2 linked regions of the Bombyx mori genome follow. The main gene of each other region encodes a partner of the protein of the gene in region 2 in a complex. Links are inferred from orthologs where the notes say so. Each region holds a gene or a part of one and is shown on either strand. Other genes may lie near its edges.

The links.
Region 1: GATOR2 complex protein MIOS (region 2) and sec13-like protein share a complex: the UniProt entries of both Drosophila melanogaster proteins name them as parts of the GATOR complex. The link is inferred for Bombyx mori from reciprocal best matches to the Drosophila melanogaster genes mio and Nup44A.

The regions. Positions count from the first base shown.
Region 1 is NC_085125.1:13,431,516-13,435,825, forward strand, and holds the start of sec13-like protein, read left to right. Parts: upstream 1-1,393; 5' UTR 1,394-1,440; coding exon 1,441-1,575; intron 1,576-1,755; coding exon 1,756-1,912; intron 1,913-2,724; coding exon 2,725-2,878; intron 2,879-3,302; coding exon 3,303-3,410; intron 3,411-3,731; coding exon 3,732-3,848; intron 3,849-4,310. UniProt on the Drosophila melanogaster protein: Probable component of the nuclear pore complex (NPC). Involved in maintaining the localization of another nucleoporin Mgtor to the nuclear envelope of early meiotic female germline cells.
Region 2 is NC_085114.1:15,836,372-15,840,022, reverse strand, and holds part of GATOR2 complex protein MIOS, read left to right. Parts: coding exon 1-4; intron 5-1,339; coding exon 1,340-1,541; intron 1,542-2,607; coding exon 2,608-2,807; intron 2,808-3,518; coding exon 3,519-3,591; 3' UTR 3,592-3,651. UniProt on the Drosophila melanogaster protein: An essential component of the GATOR subcomplex GATOR2 which functions as an activator of the amino acid-sensing branch of the mTORC1 signaling pathway.

The DNA.
Region 1 (4,310 bases), on a different chromosome or scaffold from region 2:
CTCCTCTTTTTATTTAACAAATGTTAAATATTATCATTGAACACTTAAAGTGTGTAGTAAATTAAAAAAAAATACGTAATTGTCTATTTGACAAATTGGTCAAGTTATTGGAGATCTGTTTAATGAAAATTATCACACTCATAATTAGTTAATCATATACAAATTTTGCATCTATCTAAATTGTTCTGTTTTCGTGTTTATTTTGACAATAATGTTAATAATTGATGTATTTTTGTGTATGAATTTGTTATATTTATAAATAATATTAGCTTCCTTGTTAATCTATGTAATTAAATTAGCTAGTACACTACTAATTTTATTAAATGCCTATAATTTTTAATTGTTTTTTTTTTCAAAGTATATCATGAGCCTTTTCACACATCTATAGATCTTAGTGTAGGAATGGTAGGTAATAAATACGACATCGATGTTGGGAGAAAAACATGGTAAGGCGGGTACTAACGTCTAACGAAAGACCACTGTTATTTACAGCATTGGTCTTCCGTCGTGTGGGGTACGAACTGCTTGAATTGCTTCCCTTTTATAAATTATATATTATAAATTATTATTATCTATGCTGTTTTCATTCATGGACTGAGGCTCTTTAACAAGTTTTCCCAAGTTACCACAAGTTTCTCCCATTTAATCTACATGGGTGCCACTCCGGGAAGGACCGCTTAATTGCTGGGGATGAGATTAAATCCTTTATCGATATCCTGTAAAACAATTGTGGTGACCTAAAGAATAAGATGGACAGACAGACACAAATGAACGAGTTTTTGGCGGAAACGCCAGGACCGAAGTTGTGTGTATTGTTTTTTATTTAATTTAGTGTTTCTTCAGGCTTAAAGGCTTCGTCAAACAGAAAGCGTAATTAGTGCGCGTCAGAGCGCTACGCTATGACGCCGAGATGTGTTGTACTACTATACTATGAGCGCTATAGCGCTGGCGCTCTGTTTGACGGTATAATACCGTAGTAGTACAATACATCTCGGCGTCATAGCGCGGCGTTAGTTTAGCGCTCTGACGCGCGCTAAGTACGCGTTCTGTTTGACGAAGGCTTAAACGTGTAGTAATGGTGCTTTAATTACTGTTTTGCATCCGTAAAAGCGCATGTGGGAAAATGAAACAGTCGCTTGACATGGCTTTTCGGACTCTTCCAAAAAGTCCACTAAAGTCTCTTTAAATAACTGTCATTTTACTGTGACTTTATTTCATCCCATCTCACCTCATTTTATTTAATTTCATCCATATAATCTTTCCCTTTACGTTGTTTTTCATTTAACAGAATATAAAAAAAAATTGTCTGTATGAAGTGATACTTTCGCCTTTCATATTGAAAAATGGAATTATTACTGTCATTAATGTCATTTTCTGTTAATTTGAGGTTATAAATTGGGATTAATGTAACGGAAAAAACACTGTTAGTTCATAATAACAATGAGTGAAAACATAGCTACGAACCTTTTCGAGGCCCAAACGATACATGCCGATCACAAAGACCTTATTCACGATGTCGCGTACGACTTCTACGGGGAGAGAATGGCCACTTGTTCCAGTGATCAATACGTAAAGGTACATTCTTTATATTATTTTTAATTAGAGTACGTACCTTTGTTTTACGTACGTATAGTTGTAAAACGTGGTAAAATGAAATTTTTTTAGTCTTCTGGTAATTCACGAAAGCTTTGTTGCTTCGTAGTAATAAGCAATCGTGAAAGTTAATAATTTGGAATATGTTATTTTTTATCTTAGATATGGGACACAGACGGGCATGGAGGCTGGCGGATGACAGCGAGCTGGAAGGCTCATCACGGCTCTGTTTGGAAAGTTACATGGGCCCACCCAGAGTTTGGACAGGTCATTGCGACTTGCTCCTTTGATAGAACAGCTGCTATTTGGGAGGAAGTGGGTATGTGGAACCATTTGTTCATACCATTTAGCATTAAATTTATTACTTTTTCTAGATGAGTTGTTTTATAATATATTTTATGTATAATTAGCTGACCTGGCAGACTTCGTAGTGCCTCAATCAATAAATAAACTAAACTTTTGTATAAAATAAACCTAAAACAAAAAAAGGAATCCTTCCGGCGGGGGACATATTAAAGGAAAACAAAATTGTTATTTTTATTTAATTCTGAGCATTTTTATATTTAGCTACCTTTTAAACTTTCTCTGGACCTCTACAAATAATACAATACCAAAATTAGCCAAATCGGTCCAACCATTCTCGAGTTTTAGCGAGACGAACGAACAGCAATTCATTTTTATATATATAGATTATAGTATATTCTTGTAAGTTTTAGCCACAATTTACCCATTTTTTGCAGAATGTAAGGTGTAGGGTGCCTGCTTTTCATAGTTTTGCATCATGGTACATTCAATGTACTTCTGAAAGCTTTCATTAGTTTTTTGTGTTTGGGTAGACAGACTGAGATCTTAGATCCCATATCACTTAACATGAGGTGGGCTGTGAGCTCGTCCACCCACCTAAGCAATAAAAAAATTACATTCTAGGAAACCTAGCTTGGAAGTTGCAAAATAATATAAATTTTAACAGACATAAAGTGTGAAAAACTGTGACCAAAGAATGGCCTATTTAGTCATCACTAGCACCATCACTAGTCATGCAGAGATATACACAAGCCAAGTGCAGAATAGTAGGAGTATATAGTTCAAAATGATTGGTTCAAATAAATATGTATTCAATATTGTATTCAGGTGACACCACAGCAACAGGCTCTGAAAAGAGTTTACGTACATGGCTGAAGCGGTCAAACCTCGTTGATTCAAGAACTTCAGTAACAGATGTTAAATTTGGACCTAAACATTTAGGTCTACTACTAGTTACATGCTCAGCTGATGGCATTATAAGGTATTATGTTGATCCATAACACTACACATCAGTAAAACCTCCTGGTACTACTTATTTCAAGCATAAACTGATAGCTACTACCACCCTGCCTATTTCTGCAATGAAACAGTCTCGTTTTCTAATTTGTAGGCTGTTTTACTAGATGGTTAAGAATTTGGGTCTAAATGTGAGTGATGATTTATGTAACAATATTGGCAGCTACTAATGTAATCTAAGCTGTAAGCATTACCTGGTTTTCTACATTTTCAACAATTAAATTCAGCTAATTACCATTTTTCATTTGAATTAATTCTGTGTCGTTCTAGATAAATAGTTGACCTCAGAATCCACATAAGGCTATGTTGTTACTGGTATAGCAATACTGCTCTTCATCTTCTCACTTTAATCTGTTTGAAGCGAAAACAACATTCTGTTTGATTTACAGAATATATGAGGCTCCGGATGTGATGAATTTGGCACAATGGACCCTCCAGCACGAGATACCGACGAAAGTTTCAATTAGTTGTTTATCATGGAACCCTTCATTGTCTAGGTAGGTATGTATTTTTATTATAATTGGATGTAGCAAATAGCCCATCTGATCGTAACTGGATATAGTCACTTATGGACAACAAGTAGTCAACAACAACAGTCAACAACAACAACAACAATAATAACGTGTAGTCAACAAAGAGCTCTTTTAAGTCCCCAGATACTCATAAAACAGCAGGGAATTTAGTTTAGAGGTTGAAAGTGAGAGTAAGAGAGAGTTTTTGGGAGCAAATTGTGTTTTTACTGTGTAAAATAAAACTGTTCTGTTGGCTTGTATTAGTGACTTTTTTATAATATCTTCAATATTGCATTTTTTTTCTAGGGTAGGAAACCCACCAATGTTGGCAGTAGGCAGCGATGAACCTAACACAACAAATGCCTTAGCATCAGTACCATCTGATAAGAGCACAGCTTGTAATGGAAAAGTTTTTATTTATGAGTAAGTATTAATTTATATGTTGTAATCCATGTATTAAATATACACTTTTACTTTTATATGTAAATATCTAAAATACTTATTACTTGAAATAATGATAATTCTAGACAGTGACTTGGATGTGCCCCTGCCATTGACAATGTCTACTGTTAGCAGTGATTTAAAACTATCAGTTTTTGTATTGTATTTGTAGTGAATGTAAACATTTGGCTTCATTCATTTACTTGATAGATTTGCAAATTTTTATAGTTGTCTATAGCCCAGGGAAGATTTTTGTCATAGTTTGGAGAGTATACGACAAAAGGAAGATATTCAACCGAGCGGGTGACAGACAGTCCGAATGTTGATGTTCAGAACTTGTATATATGCAAGTTCCATTCCCGATCCTGCGGACAGAATGGAAAGCAGTCGACGTCGCCCCAAACACGTCATTTCGGATCCTCCCGATCCACTAACGGTGCTTTT
Region 2 (3,651 bases):
ACAGGTACCGCGCCCTGCCCCACACCGACCCACATCAACTATCATAGTATCATAGATTTTTACTAATTGATTGAACATTTCTACGGCTTGACCCCACCGCTAGCAAAAGAGGCATTAAATTGTGATTTGTATATACCTAATTCAATACGTAGACGCGCCGTGCGTTCATGGTAGTGTCAAATTATTTTATTACATTCTTGTATAACAGTGCACTTGTAGTGCGCGCGGAAACGCTGGTCATCTCCTGAGGTATGTAGCGGGGTGAGACGGGGGAGAGCGCGATTGACAAGACGCACACGATATTATATTAAGTGCAGATAAATCTCAGAATAACATATTAGAATTAATGTAATGGGTGCCTAATTCTAATATTGTATTTTTCTATTTCCTGGTTAAACAAAAAATGCATATTCAAAAGTGTTTATTATATTTTATTACGAAACAAAACAATTTTATAAGCAAATGAACATTTCTTAAAAAGAAAAAAAAAAAACTATCACCATTATAGTACATTATAAAAAAATAATTATTTATTTATCTATTTTGATTTTTTTACCAACAAAAATTTATGAATTTTCCATCGTAATACCCCCATGTCGAAATCATCAATGTAGATTCTCTTTTTTATTTTTTTAGGTTTTCATGGAGAAGTAAATTTTGATTTTTCCGATGTTTGCCGATTCGAATTTACTTCAGCTACAATTCTAATTACGGTCTGAGAAAAAAAATTGTGCACATTGTAAATTACATTTTACACTGATCGTGTTATTGGTGGACCCATCTTAGGATATTTTATCTCGTGTATGTTTGGAACAAACTGGCAAGAACAACTGTATCGTACAACCGCCGCGGTGGTCGACGGCAGACTGAGTTAGCTTGACGTTTGTCTACCTCGCCCGCCCTGCCGCTCGCATACAGCAGGCGGTGACTAGCCCTTCCGCGCACACTATAGTTAATGGAAAATTTGGTTTTCATTTATTGAACAGTTTTACAGTTTGACCCCACCGTTAGCAACAGGGACATTAAAGTGGTACCCGCAAAATATGTGAATGTGTGGAATCATTTATGCTGTCGACCTTGCGTCGACGTCTCCAGAAGACTGCATATACGGGCGCCGGTGACCACTTAACATCAGATGGGCTCACAAAAAAGAGTTTATAATTTTCTCAGTCACAAGCGATTATTGGAGCAGACGGGTAGGACAGGCTGCCGCACCGCGTGCTCGGTGTCGTGCGCGGGCTGTCGAGGACTATAGACTCGTTGAGACAGGACGGCACTCCGGCAGCAGCAGTGCAGTCTTGTGAAGAGAGTAATGCGAAGTGTTGTGTGTAACGGGCAGCTACCGCGGGCTGCTGGACGGCTGGCGGCTGTGGTGGGCTCGCTGCGCGCTGGACACGTGGGTGTGCGGGGGCAGCGCCGCGGCCGCCGTGCGCCACGTGTGCGTGGCCTGCACCTACTGCGGCAAGTCCGTGGCGGCGGCCGCGGGGGCCCGGCCTCGCCCGCCGCTCGCGCGCCTTCCGCCGCCCGCCGCCAAGATGAAGGTAAATACAACATTCCCCCGCGACCTACATACTTCATATAGTGATGAAATGCTACGTTACCGGTACCTCCGCCCCCCCCCCCCCCTGCCGCGAAGTAGTAATACGTTCCGATTCGAAGAGTGGGGTAGCAGTTCTACTATAGAACTGAACTTCACAACTCATATCTCAAGCTGGGTGGCGGCATCTTTGTTATTGATGTCTATGGGTTCAGAAACACTCGTGAGCAATGAGAAAAAAAAACGTTAACTTCTTATATTAATTAGTTATAAACATTTTAAATCAATTATTGTCAATCCCAAATCAAAAAACCCAGATCGAACTTATAACTATTGTTAACGAGGCTTCTTGAAATTACACGCGGCAGCAAATTGTTTGTTATGGCCGCGCGTGTTTTTTTCTTAAATCACGGAGGCTTCTTGGTGATGGACGCGCCAACAAAATTGTATGAAGTGGGCGCGCGTGATCGCACGGCCGGTCGGCGGCGGAATGAAATGGCGCGCGTCCCGCGGCACGTGGAGGGGGGGGGGGGCGGCAGCGCCTCGTTCGTTAACAACTATCGTTTAAGGCTTCGTCAAACAGAACACGTTCTTAACGCGGCGTTTTAACGTCGCGCTCTTTTCATGTCACACAAATTGACTAGACGAGCCCAACGCTCCTTGACGCAACATAACGCCAAATTATAGTGCCTTTCGATAGCAGTGTGAAAATTAAAAAGTTTCAAGATGTCGAGTGATTCAGATGTGGCATTGTATAAACATGGATATTTCCTAACTAATTCTATCAATTTTTCGGGCATTATCCAGTATTTTAATATACATTCACTCGGACGCTAAAATAAAATTTGTAAAAAATTACAATGCCTGACGTCAAAGCGTCCTAACGCCGCGACAGAGCTTTGCGTACTGCTAGCGCTGGGGCTCTGTTTGACGGTATGTTACCATAGTAGTAGTACAGCACATCTCGGCGTCATAGCGTAGCGCTCTGATGCGCGCTAATTACGCGTTCTGTTTGACGAAGCCTTAAGACGTTTCCGAGAAGGTTCCGAGCAGGGGGCGCGATGTTTCAGCAAATCTCGTCGTGCCCGAACTGCCGCAAGCCGCTGCCGCGCTGCGCCGTGTGCTCGCTGCATCTGGGCACGGGCGCGGGGGGCGGTGCGGGGGGCGCGGCGGGCGGCGGCGCTGGGGGCGCGGCCTTCCCCCGCTGGTTCAGCTGGTGCGTGGCCTGCAGGCACGGGGGCCACGCCGCGCACCTCATGGACTGGTTCAAGTACGTGCCGCCCGCTCCCGTGCGCTCTCTGTCTAATGTTCTCCGTTTCCGAACAAGTATTATAAACTTATATATTTAAGTCGTCGTGGCCTAAAAGATAAGACATCTGGTGCATTCGTATGTAGCGATGCGATGGTGTTCGAATCCCGCAGGTGGGTACCAGTTTTTCTAATAAAATACATACTGAACAAATATTCACGATTGACTTCCATAGTGAAGGAATAACATCATGTAATAAAAATTAAACCCGCAAAATTATAATTTACGTAATTACTGGTAGTAGGACCTCTTGTGAGTCCGCGCGGGTAGGTACCACCGCCCCGCCTATTTCTGCCGTGAAGCAGTAGCGTTCCGGCTTGAAGGGTGGGGCAGCCGTTGTAACTATATTGAAACTAGAACTCATCTCAAAATGGGTGACAGCATTTACGTTGTAGATGTCTATGGGCTCCGGAAACCACTTATCACCAGGTGGGCCGTGAGCTCGTCCAGACCCCTAAGCTATAAAAAAAAATAAAAAAATTCAGATTAAAAAAAAAAAAAAGTTTTTATGACACCGAAACTGACAATAAGATGATATTGTTTTTGCCCTGCTGCTGCCATCGGGCTCAGGACGTTAGAGCGAAGTTATAGAATGAATATAAATAAAATATAATGAGAGTGACACAGCTCCCAACATGCGGAGCGCGTGCCAATGAGTCCCGTGTGCTGCAGGGAGCACGCGGAGTGCCCGGTCAGCTCCTGCAACTGCCGCTGCAGCACCCTGGACCCCCCCCACCGCCTGTAGCGCGCCCCGGGGGACCGACTATCTACTGAACACACGTTTTTCTTTGGTGATATTTTTTGT